Schizosaccharomyces pombe: one gene and its partner. The protein of the gene in region 1 interacts with the protein of each later gene in a pairwise test. Each region holds a gene or a part of one and is shown in the gene's direction. Other genes may lie near its edges.

Evidence for each region. Proteins that work in one complex are often made in the same cells at the same time.
Region 2: the proteins of SPOM_SPCC191.01 (region 1) and SPOM_SPAC1039.06 interact in a two-hybrid assay, tested with the Schizosaccharomyces pombe proteins (one large-scale study listed by BioGRID).

The regions. Positions count from the first base shown.
Region 1 is NC_003421.2:1,701,691-1,709,901, forward strand, and holds SPOM_SPCC191.01 (uncharacterized protein), read left to right. Parts: upstream 1-4,121; 5' UTR 4,122-4,770; coding exon 4,771-5,307; 3' UTR 5,308-6,044; downstream 6,045-8,211. Other genes in the region: SPOM_SPCC417.15 (uncharacterized protein), read right to left, coding at 1,021-1,152; SPOM_SPCC417.16 (NADH:ubiquinone reductase complex subunit), read right to left, coding at 1,477-1,635; acs1 (acetyl-CoA ligase), read right to left, coding at 6,544-8,211.
Region 2 is NC_003424.3:5,456,623-5,462,854, forward strand, and holds SPOM_SPAC1039.06 (D-serine ammonia-lyase activity), read left to right. Parts: upstream 1-3,709; 5' UTR 3,710-3,944; coding exon 3,945-5,192; 3' UTR 5,193-5,732; downstream 5,733-6,232. Other genes in the region: DNA-binding transcription factor, zf-fungal binuclear cluster type Klf1, read right to left, coding at 123-166, 218-850, 906-1,204, 1,250-1,371, 1,425-2,551, 2,653-2,773; SPOM_SPAC1039.07C (alanine-glyoxylate transaminase), read right to left, coding at 5,821-6,232. UniProt on the Schizosaccharomyces pombe protein: Catalyzes the conversion of D-serine to pyruvate and ammonia. May play a role in D-serine detoxification.

The DNA.
Region 1 (8,211 bases):
TTGTTTTCCATATCAAGATGAGCAAGTTCAATTAAAAGTTGGTTTTTAGGTTCATGATTAACTGTGATACAAAATGGATGTCTGGTAGTTTAAGGATAAAGAGTCGTTAGACCATAAACAAATTCTATTATTTTTTCTTCGTTGGTGGTTCAAGTGAAGAAAGTTGTATAACCTTCTGTAAGACATAATACTGTGGATAATAACAACAGGTCGGGTAGCATAGTTGGTTATTGCGCACGACTGTTAATCGTGAGGTCGAGGGTTCGAGTCCCTCCCTGACCGGAATTCTTTTTATCTCTTTGAAAGTGTTTTTCTTTTTTTTTAATGTGTTTACTGTTATAAGTATGAATTTAAGTCATTGTTTATAGCAAAATACCAACTATAAATTTTTGTTTAGTTTACACAATAAAATCTACCTTTATACACTGCGAATGTCTACGGCCATACCTAGGCGAAAACACCAGTTCCCGTCCGATCACTGCAGTTAAGCGTCTGAGGGCCTCGTTAGTACTATGGTTGGAGACAACATGGGAATCCGGGGTGCTGTAGGCTTCCTTTTATTCTTTTTGCTTTTTGTTTTGAACTATTTTTTTTTTTTTTTCAAACTAGTTATTTAACTAATGTATCCATATACAACTAACACTGCTCTACCATTGTAATTGTTCTGGCTATGGCATTGCCAATTTCGCATTGTATTCAACTATATAACTAGACATTGCAAGACTTGAATCGCTATACAAAGTCTATACTTATTAAACAAGTATCACTCGCTACACTTACTCATACATTTTATTTACACAACTTTTTAATATTTGGAAAAATAAAACATTAATCAATATTAAAACTAACAGTACAAAGGAATATTAAGGATTATAATAATGGACAGTGCAAATTGGAAAAAAAGAAGCAAAGAATGCAAAATTTAATAAAGGCACATAATAAAATTAGCAAAGTGTTACACAAAATCCAATTCTTCTTTTTTTTTTTTTTTAAGAACAAACAAGTATGAAGAATGGAAATTCAAATGCAAAACAGAGCAATCAAACAGACAAGGGGGTTGATGAAATGGTTTTCACAGCAATGATGAGAGAAATGAATGTGAATTATAAACAAACGAAAAAAAATTCCAATCGCAATAATTTTTCTTTTCATTGCAAAATGGTTTTAATTCTGTCATCAAGAGAAGCTGTAAAGCAATTTATTTCAATGCATAAAATTTCAAAAACACAGAGAAGTGTGCGTTTTTAAGAATTCAAACAAAGCTTTTTAACAGTAAAAAATATTTGTTCTTTTCTTTTCATTTTAAACGAAACGAACAAAGTATGTTTCCATCCAAAAGGCGCTAGCATATTTAAAGACGAATTAGGATTGATCAAAGTTGATAAGAGGTCGATCCAAATCGATCAGAGTCGATCATAATAATCGGACACATGGCTATGTTTCGATCGCGCCAAATCAATAAAAACCCAGGTGGTTTTAGATGGTACGACGAACGGTAGGATCGATATGAACATTGGGGTCTGCGAGCAATTTCTTGCCCATGCTATATGTAGCAAAGCCAACAGCAGTAGCTACAGCAGCACCTAAAGGATAGAGTTCGACGGGGACTTTACGAAGAGCAGCACGGAAAGGCATGATGAATGTAAAAAAGTAAGAATGTAAAGAAATGAGAGTTTTTTTAGAAAATCAAGAGAATTTGTAAAAAATCGTAGACTATAAGGTATTCGGTAGAGTACGTTATAGAGACTAACTATATGAAAAGTTTGACTTGACTTAAACCAAGTGAAGTGAATGTAAAGATGGGATGTTGAATTGATGAACCAAAGACCATCAATCCAAGGCCTTTATATAGAAAAAAAAAATTCTTAGCGACTCTTCCATCGAAGCGAGCAAGCGGGCCACCAAAAATGGCAGAAACCCAATAAACCAACGAAAGGCGGCGAAACGACCAACGTAAACATTCCATTGGAAGACAGGGGTTTACCCCACAAAATCGACGTCAAAGAGAAGTAGATTGATTAGCTTATTTTAACGTAATGCACAACTAGACACGGAACTTTTCCGCCAATAACGGAGTGGCGCGTTCCTCCTTCTTACCGAAAAATGTCGCAGTAGCCAATCCACTACATCAGCGGCAACCAATCCGATGCGACAGCAGAACCAGCCAACTTGTTAGTCCGAGAATGACGTGGGCAAAAAGTGGAGAGTCGGGGGATGGAAAGGGGAGGACCTCATTTTTATGATATCGTATTAAGGAGGTGAATGAGAGGAGAGACTAATGGATGCAAAGTAGAGGGGGGAGGGAGTTTGAGAGGAGAGAAGAGGTAGAATAGGGACATCAAATGTAGTACGTTATAGTATAAATTATATCAAGTGCGTTGGAATGCGCCAAGTATGATGAGAGGAAGGATTTTCATTAGAGAGAGAGAGAGAGAGCGAGAGAAACTAGTTAGTTTCTCTAATAGTTAATAGTAAATAAAAAGAAAAAGCCGTTTGTAGAGAAGATCATCCAAGAATTATCGTTTACCTTTTTTGAAATCATTAATCTTTTAAATTTATTTATTTTTTTCTTAATATCGTTATTAATACACTCATACTGGAATTCTACTTTTGCCAAGATATCATTTTTTCATCATCCACCTTTTCCCTTGAATGGCGTAAAAAAAAAGTTGCAGAATGGCATTCCGACATGCTCGTAGTTTGCGTTGCATTTCATTTCCAAAACGTTGCTTTCCATCCTATAAGTCATAATGACTGCATGACTGGTGGAAAAAGGGAAAAGAATGAGAAAGGGAAGCAGAAGTACCATAGAAGGAATAGAATGCAGAGAACCGAAAACGGAATATAAAGAGTATTTGGGGGGATTTAAATTTTTTTTGAAAAGACTTACATTTTGAGGGAATCACATGAATCCCAACATATGGCTTTTTCATATTTATCCATACTACCAAAAATTACCCATTTTTTATCTATATATGGAAAAGAATATTAAAATAGATTTTTAGGATGCTTTCTTTACATTTCCTTATATTATGATTGCTACAGCTTTATGGATTGTTATGATATTTTTTACGATGTTCTATATTTCCTTATATAACGATTGCTAGAGCGTTAATGTTTGTTATAACTGTTATCGAAATACTTAAAAAGACGCACAATATTTTTTTGCGATTTAGAGTTCTTTCATTAGCTGCCTCGTAACACGCTCCATAAAACACATTTTAACAAACCTCTCGCTAAACAATTATACTGTTACACAACGTTGTGTGTATAAATCTTTTGATACTGTATTTTTCGTATTTTGAAGTTCCTTATACATTTTTTTAAATATTTTTGCATAGTGTCTTTTGTCTCGTTATCCTATTGTTGTTTTTAATATTCTCTGTCATAGTAGCAATTTTCCATTTTCTCTCTTTCCAACAAGTCATCAAGATGTCAGCTTGTAAGTTTGACATGAATACATGAAAAGTTTGAAAGTAGTAGGTGACGACTTTTCATTCCATTTACACTCTTAGTGAAGATTTCGCAATGCTCTATAAAATCCCATTTACCAATCTTCTCCCTATTTCCTGTGCCACGAGTCAATCGCTCGTTTCCTCCCTTATCATATTCGTTGGTATAACTCATCGCTTGTACTTGTACCAAAATCCCTACGGAGCCTTATTTGGTTGATCATTTCACATTCGTCTGTAAAAACAATAGAAGCTAGACGCTTCCCACAAAGGAGAGATTTCTCGACAACTACTATGCAACATGAAACTTTTTGTTGGAAGCTATGGCGACTAAGTAAAAACAACTTGTTGAAAAAGTGTCGTCTTCAGTACGCAGGGTGTAAATGAATTAGCTAGTCAACAATATCTCCACCTTTACTGTTCTTTACAGGAGGAAAAAAAAATACCGTCCTTCATCTTTCGAATGTCTAAACATGTTTCATTAAAAAATCTCGGTCTGTAATATCAATAACCTTGAAAAACCAAGCTCTTTGACTCTCATTCTCATTCCCTGTTTAACGACTCGCTATGACACGCTATTCTTAGAATGGCTTCCCCACACTTCTCTCCACGTCACTTACGTATTCTTTAGACGATCAAGGCTGTAGCGCTGCCAACTTACCTTCCGTTAGCATATTACCCATTCTCCTACTGATTTGGTACACTAACAAGCACTGCTTTTATTTTCCTTGCTTCAGGTTATAATAAATCTATCTTCTGTGATAATTTCTTGTGTTTCGCTTTGGCTTGCTCAACTTTCGATTTACACCCTTTCCTTACAGTATTGTGGCTTGCAAAGTATTTTCTTGGCTGACGATTCATTGAGAATTCATTGCAAACTGAGTTTGATTGTTTTAAAAGAAACGGAATTTAGTTTGTTTTCGAAATTTTTTTTTTTTTAGAAGAAACACTCTTCTACTTACGTATTGAGGAAAATTCCGTCGAATCTTTCGGGTGATTCCGCAAATTAAAGTCTTATTATCCGAAATCTTTTTCTTCTAAAGTTTTCTGTTCATTGATACATACACATCTTTGTTGGGGTTCTTAACTTTCCATTGTTTGTGTGTCTTTTGATTTCTTTAACTTGTTCAAGAATTTTTTTTGGCTCGTTTCATAAATATTCTTACTTGGTTGAGATTTCTTAATCTTCCGTTCAATAAAACCATTAAATATTAAAACGTTTTCCTTTTTCTTATAAGCTTCTTTTCTTGTTTCTTGTGAAACTCTCAACTACCGAATTATCTTTACTGCTGTCCCCTGCTTTTTTCATAGTTCAACAATGGTTACTCGTCGTCTTAGTACAAATGTCCATATCGACTTACAGCCCATTCGTCAGGGTATCTTGCTTCCTTTTCACGACAGACCGGCTGAGATGAGGGACCTTGCTAAATGCAATGATCAGTTTTTTCGCAACGTTCGGGACACCATCAGCGAACCAAAGTTTACACAATTGATGGAATTATGGCTTGAAAAGTCTCGTGCGGAGGTTCCAGACGCTGATTTTCTAATGACTACCCGAAATATTATGTTATCCTTTCCCAGCAATGAGGAACAGGGTCATCAGAGGTCGGCGTCACATGGCTCTACTTCATCGGCAACATCTACTCCAAAACGTCTGAGTATCTCTTCTATGGACCCTGCCAGGATCCATTTGTGGAGACAGTTTTGTAACGTTGTAGGATACGATATGCCTACTCCTGGAGAACAAAAAGAAGCCCCTCCTTCGCCGGCTCAAGAGGCAATTCCAGAGTCGCCTGTTGAAGAGGCTATTGCAAGTGATAGCGATGAAGAAGAAGAAGAAGAAATTAAGGCTTAGAAAATTATAGCAGACTTTTTTCGTTTTTTTTTAAATCCATCAAATGCTTTCCCGCCTCTTCTTTACTAGGTATTTTTTTTATTGTTTTCTCACCCTGTTTAATTTTTTTTGGGAAGCCATCCTCTCTAGAGTACCTTCATAATTGATATTTTCAGGCTCTCACCGAGTTGGCTCAAACTCGAAATGGAAATCTTTAAAATCAATTGAGGGAATTGTTTCCTATGTTCTTCAATTGACAGGAAAATCTTTTATGTTTTGTCCTTATGGTGAAACTACACTTTCTTTTGTCCCGACAACCCAATAACGATTCGGCTTATTACTTATGGAAGAGAATTCTACTAGAGCTGAAACCCTTTTTTTTAGTTGTGAAACTAAATTTTATGATTCATGATACTTACTCCTTAGCCATCTGAAATGTTCTATGGCTATTTTTGTAACGATTTTAATTATTGTGATGCTGAACGTTTATGATGACTTGCGCGGGTTATGACTTAAATAGGCCTAGTTTTACGGCAAGTGATCTTTGTCTTGGTATATGTTATATGATTTTCTTGTTCGTGCCCTTATTTTCGAAAACAACCCGTATGTGAGTAGCCGCCAATTATGCAAGTATTATTGTTGGATTTGATAATGAGATTCCTTTTGTTTGGTTAGTTCAAGTGAATAACAGATTTCTCATATTCATATTTTCCATTGTAGTAGTAATGTTATTACCAATATCAGAATGAAGCTTCTCTTACAGACATTGTGTAATTATCACTCATACGTACTATCGATATTGATGTACCTAATTGTGCAGTTATCTTTATATTGCTTTCTTTACTCGGCTCTTCAGTATGCTACAATAAGATAGTTTACTTTTACTGTTTCATGAAAAAGACGCTCACACTAGCCGTATGAACTTTTTGTAGTACGCAAAAGGTGTTTTATTTGTTAAACCCCCTTCAACATTTTAAATTCATAGCTACCTTTTATAAGTGCCATTAATAGAGATTTTTCTAAAAAAAAAAAACTTGACACAGGCACTCCAAAAATAAAGTGAACATCTAAACCTGTGCGATAACGTTAGTCATGACGGTCATAATATGCTTTCATTAGCGCGAACGATAAATCTTCCAACTTTTACAAGATACATTAAATAAGTGAGGTCTTCGGAACGTTGGTAAATAAAGTATCACACGCCTCATTATTATATAGAAGTAAGCATATACACCGCACATCTAATTATCGAGTAGTCTAGGGCTTCTTCTGATGGGCATAATGAACAGCATGGATGATGTGCTCAACAACCTTAGGGTCAGCCAAGGTACTCAAGTCTCCAATCTGGTCGACTTCACCAGCCAAAATCTTACGGAGAATGCGGCGCATAATTTTACCACTTCTAGTTTTTGGAAGATCACTGAAAATTAACTTGCGTGGAGATGCAAAGGGGCCAATTGTCGATCGAACCGCCATGATCAACTCCTTTTCAAGTTCGACTGTAGCTTCATAGCCAGGTTTCAATAAAATAAAGGCATTGACGGCTTGACCGGTTAGCTCATCATGAACACCAACAACAGCGGATTCTGCGACAGCGTCATGAGACAACAAAGCAGCCTCGATTTCAGCTGTACTCAGACGATGGCCGGAAATGTTGACAACATCATCAACACGTCCACGAATCCAAATGTAACCATCTTTATCGCGGGTAGCACCATCACCGGTGAAGTAGAACCCAGGATATGGCTTCAAGTAGGTGTCGATGTAACGATCGTGACCGCGCCAAACAGTTCTAGCAGCGCTGGGCCAGGGACTGCGGATAGCAAGAACACCTTCAACATCGTTGCCTTCAATGATCTTGCCAGTCAAGGGATCAATGATGACTGCATCGATACCGAAAAAGGGTAACGTAGCAGAACCAGGCTTCATGGGTGTCACAGGTCCCAAAGAAGTAACAATGTGAGAACCTGTTTCAGTCTGCCAATAAGTATCGGCAACAGCACATCTTTTCTCACCAACTACTTCGTAGTACCACATAAATGACTCTGGAGCGATGGGTTCACCAACACTACCCAAGACACGAAGAGAAGAGCGATCGTGCTTGACAAATTCATTACCGGCACGTTGAAGAAGACGAATGGCAGTTGGTGCAATATACCATTGAGTCAGTCTGTGACGCTCAACGACACTCCAGTAACGAGAGTAATCAGGGTAAGCTGGTGTGCTTTCAAAAACAAGAGTAGCAGCACCAAGCATTAAGGGGCCGTATACAATATAGGTATGACCAGTAATCCAACCGACATCACCAGCACAACCCATACGATCCGTGGGATGCAAATCGAAAACGTATTTGCAAGTAGCAGCAGCGCCAAGAAGGTAACCACCAGTGCAATGTACGACACCCTTGGGTTTTCCTGTACTTCCAGAAGTGTAGAGAAGGAACAAGGGATGCTCTGGATTAACGACTGCAGGAGGGCAATACCGGGGGAACTTTGGAATAATATCGTGCCACCAGACATCACGACCTTCAACCATACTGGCGGTAGGCTCAGCAGAGCGTTGGAAGACGAGTACCTTCTTGATGGTAGGACATTCGGTAAGGGCTTTGTTAACGACACCCTTTAAAGGGATTCGTTTACCACCACGATGACTTTCATCAGCGGTAATGATAACTTTACACTCAGAATCATTGACACGGTCTGCAACAGACTCTGCAGAAAAACCAGCAAAAATAACAGAATGAATGGCACCCAAACGAACAATGGCCAACATGGCAATGATTGTTTCAGGAATCATAGGCATATAGATGGCAACACGATCTCCCATACCAACGCCCATGGACTGGAGAGCACCGGCACATTGAGAAACGGAAGCCAAAAGCTCGCGATAGGTGATATAGCGACCCTGATTGGGCTCATCAGCTTC
Region 2 (6,232 bases), on another chromosome or scaffold:
TTTCTAATGATATTCTGAACATATTAATCACAAATATTCAAAATGCGTAAATTAAAACTATGGATTAGAAATAATGTAAAAAATGCTATAATACAAGAAATCGTTCGTTATACATCCTCAAGCTAAAGCTGTACTAATTTAGACAAAATGCGAACACCATCTACCACTAAAACTGTTAGTATTTGATGAACAATACAACTACGAAAGATCGACTTACACAAACCCCATCTAGCTGGGCACAGCACATCAATGACGCATTTTAATAATGGCAGAGTTTTACTTCGAACGTAGACATGATCTTTAGCTTTCTCACTGAGACCTGTTCTCATTTGCATAAGGTAGGCATTAAGTTGAGACTTGCAGTCGTTATTTCCCGGTTCAAGCATCTCGCACCTTCCATCCGAGACATACCCATAAGCCCAAAGGATTAAGGTCGAAACATATAAGCACCAGGGTCTATGAAGACCTGTTTCATTCTGAACATCATATTCCATATCACCTCCTAAAAAAGCTTCAACCATATCCACGGCGTGCTTAATAGATACTTCAGAATCATCAGAAGCTAACCAAGCAGAAACATAGCGCGATGTACTCGCATAGAGTCTTCTAGAAGTGGAGACTATTGATTTTGCATAGGTTTGTAAAGCAACTATGTTAGTATGCAGCGAAATATGAGCCAATTCATATGTAGCCAAACAGCCTCGCACGTAAGGATGATTGAGTGGTAAAGTACCATTATTTAGAAAGAATACACGGTAGGTACGAAGCCAAAACTTGTAAGATGCTTTAAGTAAAATCCTCCAGTTTTTCAAGTTGGTTCCATTGTTTTGCATGATATTTTCTACAATACCTTTAAAACCAGTTAGTTATTGAAATCGTTAAATTAGAAATTGCAATGCTCGTACCCAAATTCTCTCTACTTAATATCCAACCAATGGTAGTTAATCCGTGCAACACAATCATCATATTCCAAGGACTTAATTTAGGAGGAAGATGCTCGTTTGTTAAGAACATTTTCAAGACGGGAAAGAAATGGGGTGGATCGTTTTCATTTAAGAGAGATGTCCATGCTTCATAGCTATCGGCGTTCCAGAGAGCTTCATCACATAATAGAGGTAAGCCAACGCTAGTGATATCAATTAACGGTCTATATCCAAATAAAATAACATGCTGAGAGTCTAATACAAATGAAAAAAATGCGATTCTAATAGTGTTAATAACCATCACTTAAAGTCACCAGATAAATTACCTTTTCGAGGCTTCTCGATCAACCCACTGATGCCATTTGTGTTGTGCAATATTCGTTCCTGTCATGTTTTTTGGAATTTTCTCGGTGACGGTATCTTTTGAAGACAGCCCATTTTGCATAGACTAGAATTAGTTAGAGAAAGTATTATTTAATATAAAACGCTAATGTAACGAACCTCAATGGTCACACCATGAAAAATTTGAGAGAGGTTGTGTTGTTCCACAGTACTGGTCATTTTTTCAAAAATTTCAGCTATTAAGAGAGCCTGATAAACCCAAAGAGAGGCAGGAGGCTTGAAATCTGGATGCGTATAGATGGAAAATCTTAAAGTTGAATGAATGGAAACAGCAATGCTATATGCGAATGCATCACCAACGAAATGCATACCCATTGTAATCATTGCCAATAAAAGTTCTACAGGTGCTTCGTCAACTTTGAGTGTTCCTCGATGCAGGAAAGGCCACCGGGGGTGAAAATCCTTCCAATAATGAGCAATCCATAAGTTCACCCTACTGCGAGTTATATATTGCAACGCCTCTTCAGAAAGTTGATAATTATTATTCATTACTTGTATTAAAGATGAATATGCGGAAAGTGATAGTAGGTCTTTAGCAACTAGTTTGTCGTCAACTCTAAAATGCGAACTAAGAAAATCAATGGTCGGTGAATCTAAAACTGGCATTAAATTCAATTGCTTTGCATTGATACCATCGGTGAAATTTGAAACTGATTCTGTTGGGGCATCTTTCTCCATGTTATCAAAAAGCCAGCACACGAAGTTATCTGTATTTTGCTGGTAAGCATTAAACGGTGATGTTCCAAAAATAGATATGGAATCTTGAGGAGACAATGACTTATTAGCATTGTTTTTTATTGAAGGGGTTGATAAAAACTTGTTTTGCAAGTTAATTTGCTGGTCGCTTTCAGGAATGGTAATCGAGCCTGAAATGGAGTTATTTCGACGACTAGTGGTAAACATGTAATTGTTTCCCGTCTGTGCAATGGCAGATTGTAGACCTTCATTGAAATTATCGGAAATTATGGGCTGGTCAGGTAATATGGGTTGATCGATATGGCTTTTGAGGTCTGTATAAGCAGCATCCTGAACGTCGGCTTCGACATATGAGGGAAAAGGTAATTCTTGATCGGAAGATGAAATAAGTGTCTTATCATGTTTAGGATGCGTTTGGCTGCCAGCATCGTTCTGCTTTACATGCTTTTGGTTAACATGTCGATTTAGCACATCGCTCCTTGTAAACGAACTGGAGCAGTGAGGGCAAATAAAGGCTTTCGAGTTGGTATCTATAATTAGAAATTAGCGGTTTTATTGAAACAAAAGTCAATTGTAGCAAGTTTCAGAAGGTATGTTTGCTACTACCTATCCAATCCCACATTGCACATACGAGATCGAAAATGCCTTCGTGCATGCTCTTTCCTAGTGAAAGATTTAGTACAGCCTTGAAAATCGCATTTGTAACGAATATCTCCTTCTTGGTATGCACGACTTTTTTTCGCCTTGGTCATGAAGAAACGCAAGTAACCTCACTTTACAGAAAAATAGTGATTAAACAGATTCAACGCAATGATAGCTAACACCTATATTCAAAATTCGTGACAATACATTCAGAAAGAGAAATAAGAAAGAAGAAAAATCTACTTAATTTCCCTAGTCGCTCAAGGTCGTAGTTGTAAAAGACATTTAAATTAGAGGCGTACGACTCCGGATCCGCGGCGGGCAATTCTTCTTATCGAAATAAACCTTCTGGCTATTATACAGGGACTTGTTACCTTATATCTATACTAAGAACCCAAGTAATGTCAGAGCCCTCGTCTTAAGCACAAAATTTTCATCTAATTTTCAAATAAATACTATGTATTTGAGTGACTAATTGTATTGGTCATCTGGCTTGCAGTTGATATTTGAATAATAGTTAAGCTAGCACTACGCAAGATCTATAAACGCAACATTAAATTTCCAATTGCTAAGTTTTATATGTAGATTTATATTTTCTATCAACCCGCCTGTTAAACACTGGTATTTATTTCTATCTTCCCTGTAAATCACAACACTTTTCTGTGTGATCTTGTTAATTCAATGCCCTTTAAGATAAGCATGAGCTAATTTAATCGATTCTGATGCAGATCGGTGAATTGTTGTAATATTGAATACATCAATTCCTGTTCATCGCTATGTTTTAACCCCCGCTTTATCTCGTGATTTAGTGATACGTTATAGCTCGATAATAGCTTGCGTAGAGGGGGTTCTGGCTCAAACTACAGCTAAGCTATCTATCTAATCTCGCAACTCTTAGTCGCTAATCGGCAATGTATATTGAGGTGGATAACGGGGGTACCGGACTTATAGCATTTTGGTACGGGTTTGTATCAATGTCTAAATCAACTGTGTGAAGGATTTATTCGGACTATATAAGTAGTTAGCGTTGCACAGCTGTTTCTTTCGTACATTTAAATTCACTTTCACTTGCGTAACTTAGCTGTACATAGGTTTACAGTGGTAAAGGACAATTGACGCTTTTAATCCTTATACTGTTTTTTTACGATTAACATCTTTTGACGGTATAATCTAATTTTTGTTTTTTGTTTTTTTTTATTTAAAAACAAATTCGATTTTGACGCAAAGTGTGGTATTCCGTAACATCTGTTTAATAGCCTTTTGACCCGTTGATATATTAAAATGGCTTCCAACGTTGATAAATTTAGCTCTCGCTTCTATCTGAATGTCAATAAGGAGGAATTGAAGAAGGAGTATGTTGGCAAAACTATCCAACAAGTTCCTACCCCAGGCTTTGTGATCGACGAAGCCATATTCGAAAAGAACTGCAATCGCATGCTGGACCGTGCAAGTGATATAGGTGTTACTTTCAGGGCTCATGTGAAAACTCACAAAACGATTGAAGGAACTTTGCTTCAATTAGGCGATGGAAGAACTAAAGCAGTGGTGGTTTCTACATTGATGGAGGGGTTTTCATTAATACCTCTCATTTTAGAAGGAAAGATTGATGATCTTCTTTACGGTCTTCCTGTAGCTAAATCTAGGCTCCCTGAATTGTATGAGCTTTCTAAAATTGTCCCACATTTACGTCTGATGATTGATAATCCCAAACAACTAGACATATTACGTGAATTCACTTCCACATTACCTGATGATGCAAAACCATGGTCGATTTTTGTCAAGATCGATATGGGTACTCACCGGGCCGGTGTTACTAACGACTCACAAGTTGTTAAGGATTTGATATCAACGATCTTGTCTGACAAATCGTTGTTTGATCTTTTTGGATTCTACTGTCACGCTGGTCATTCATATGCTTCTAGGTCTATTGACGCTGCTTCTGAGTTCTTGTGTGCTGAAATTGACGCTGCTAATACTGCTGCTAAGTTCGCTACCTCCATTGATCCTTCCTTAAAACTTACTTTGTCTGTTGGTGCGACGCCCACCGCTCATTCCGTCAGTCCAAAGGTAAAAGAGTTATTACCTACTTTGAGTGGAAAACTTGAAGTTCATGCTGGAAACTATCCCATGAACGATGTTCAGCAAATGATAACCAAATGCATCAGCCAGGCGGACGTTGCCGATTACGTGTTTGCAGAAGTCATTAGCAATTATCCAGGTAGAAACGGTGAACCTGGTGAAGTTCTTGTCAATGCTGGTGTAATTGCCATGTCTCGCGAAACCTCTCCAGAAGGTGATTTTGGAATTGTAATTACTCCTGGATTTGAGAGTTTTTACGTCGACAGATTAAGTCAAGAACATGGTATTTTAAAATCCAAAGATCCAAAAGCCACTCTTCCTGACGCCTCTCAAGTTCTTTGCATCATCCCTAATCATTCATGTATCACTGCTGCTGCATTCCCTTGGTATTACATAACCAAAGGCTCAGATGTTATCACTGATATTTGGGTCCCTTGGAAAGGTTGGTAGATGACAAGCTGACTAAATTAGCTTTAATAATAGATTCCTGATCGTGGTTAGATTTCTGCTTAATACGCCTAGAATACTTTTCAAAAAATAATGAATTCAATATATCGCGGAAGTTGTGTTTCTCGAATAATGTATATTTTTTGTTGCTGTTTATTCAGTACTTGCTCTCAGTTGTTCAGCTATTTACCGAAAAGGTATTTCTGATATTTCCGATCTTTCAATTTTACAACGTAATTACTTGTATGTTTTTTTAAAACACCAGGAAAACGAAAGATGTTTGCAGATTAAAAATTACTACTGGTATTCAATATCAAAATAAGGCTAAAGATGTAAAGGTCGCATGCAATAAACTATATACTCGGACTGTGTCAGTACAATTTTACTAACACTTCATAAATGCTTCATAGCAGAGAGGGGCTTTTTGCAAAGCGATGAAATGAATAGGAATGTTGAAAAATGGCCAATGAAGGAACGTATTAAATACTATATAATAATGTTGGCGAAAGTTAAATTATAATAGATAACATAAAAAGTTGTTGAATAGTGTCGATATATGATTGCAAAGGTAGATCAACGTGGTAACATAATGCTTTTAATAGTTCGTATAGGCTGCTTGCCGAGTTTATGTCTAATACGAACCGCTAAATTCTTTAGCAGTAAAAGTCAAGGCGGAATCAAAGATCTCTATTGCTTTGTGAATTTCCTCATCGGTTACTGTCAACGGCGGAGCGATGCGGAAAACTCCACCAATTCCCCTCAAATGAACGATGTTACAGTTCATACCTAATTCCAAACATTTATCTCCAATTACAGTTCCCAAAAAATCACTAGGTTTGCTAGGATCTGTACAAGAAGCAATTTCAATACCTTGCAACAGACCCAGACCGCGTACATCAACAATCAAAGGATGCTTATCCTTTAGACGAAGGAGATCGGATCTAAGTAGTTCTCCTGATATTTTTGCTTTTTCAACTAAGTTATCTCGTTTTACCACCTTCAAAACTGTAGAGCCTATCGCAGCTGGAAGGGGATCGGAAGCA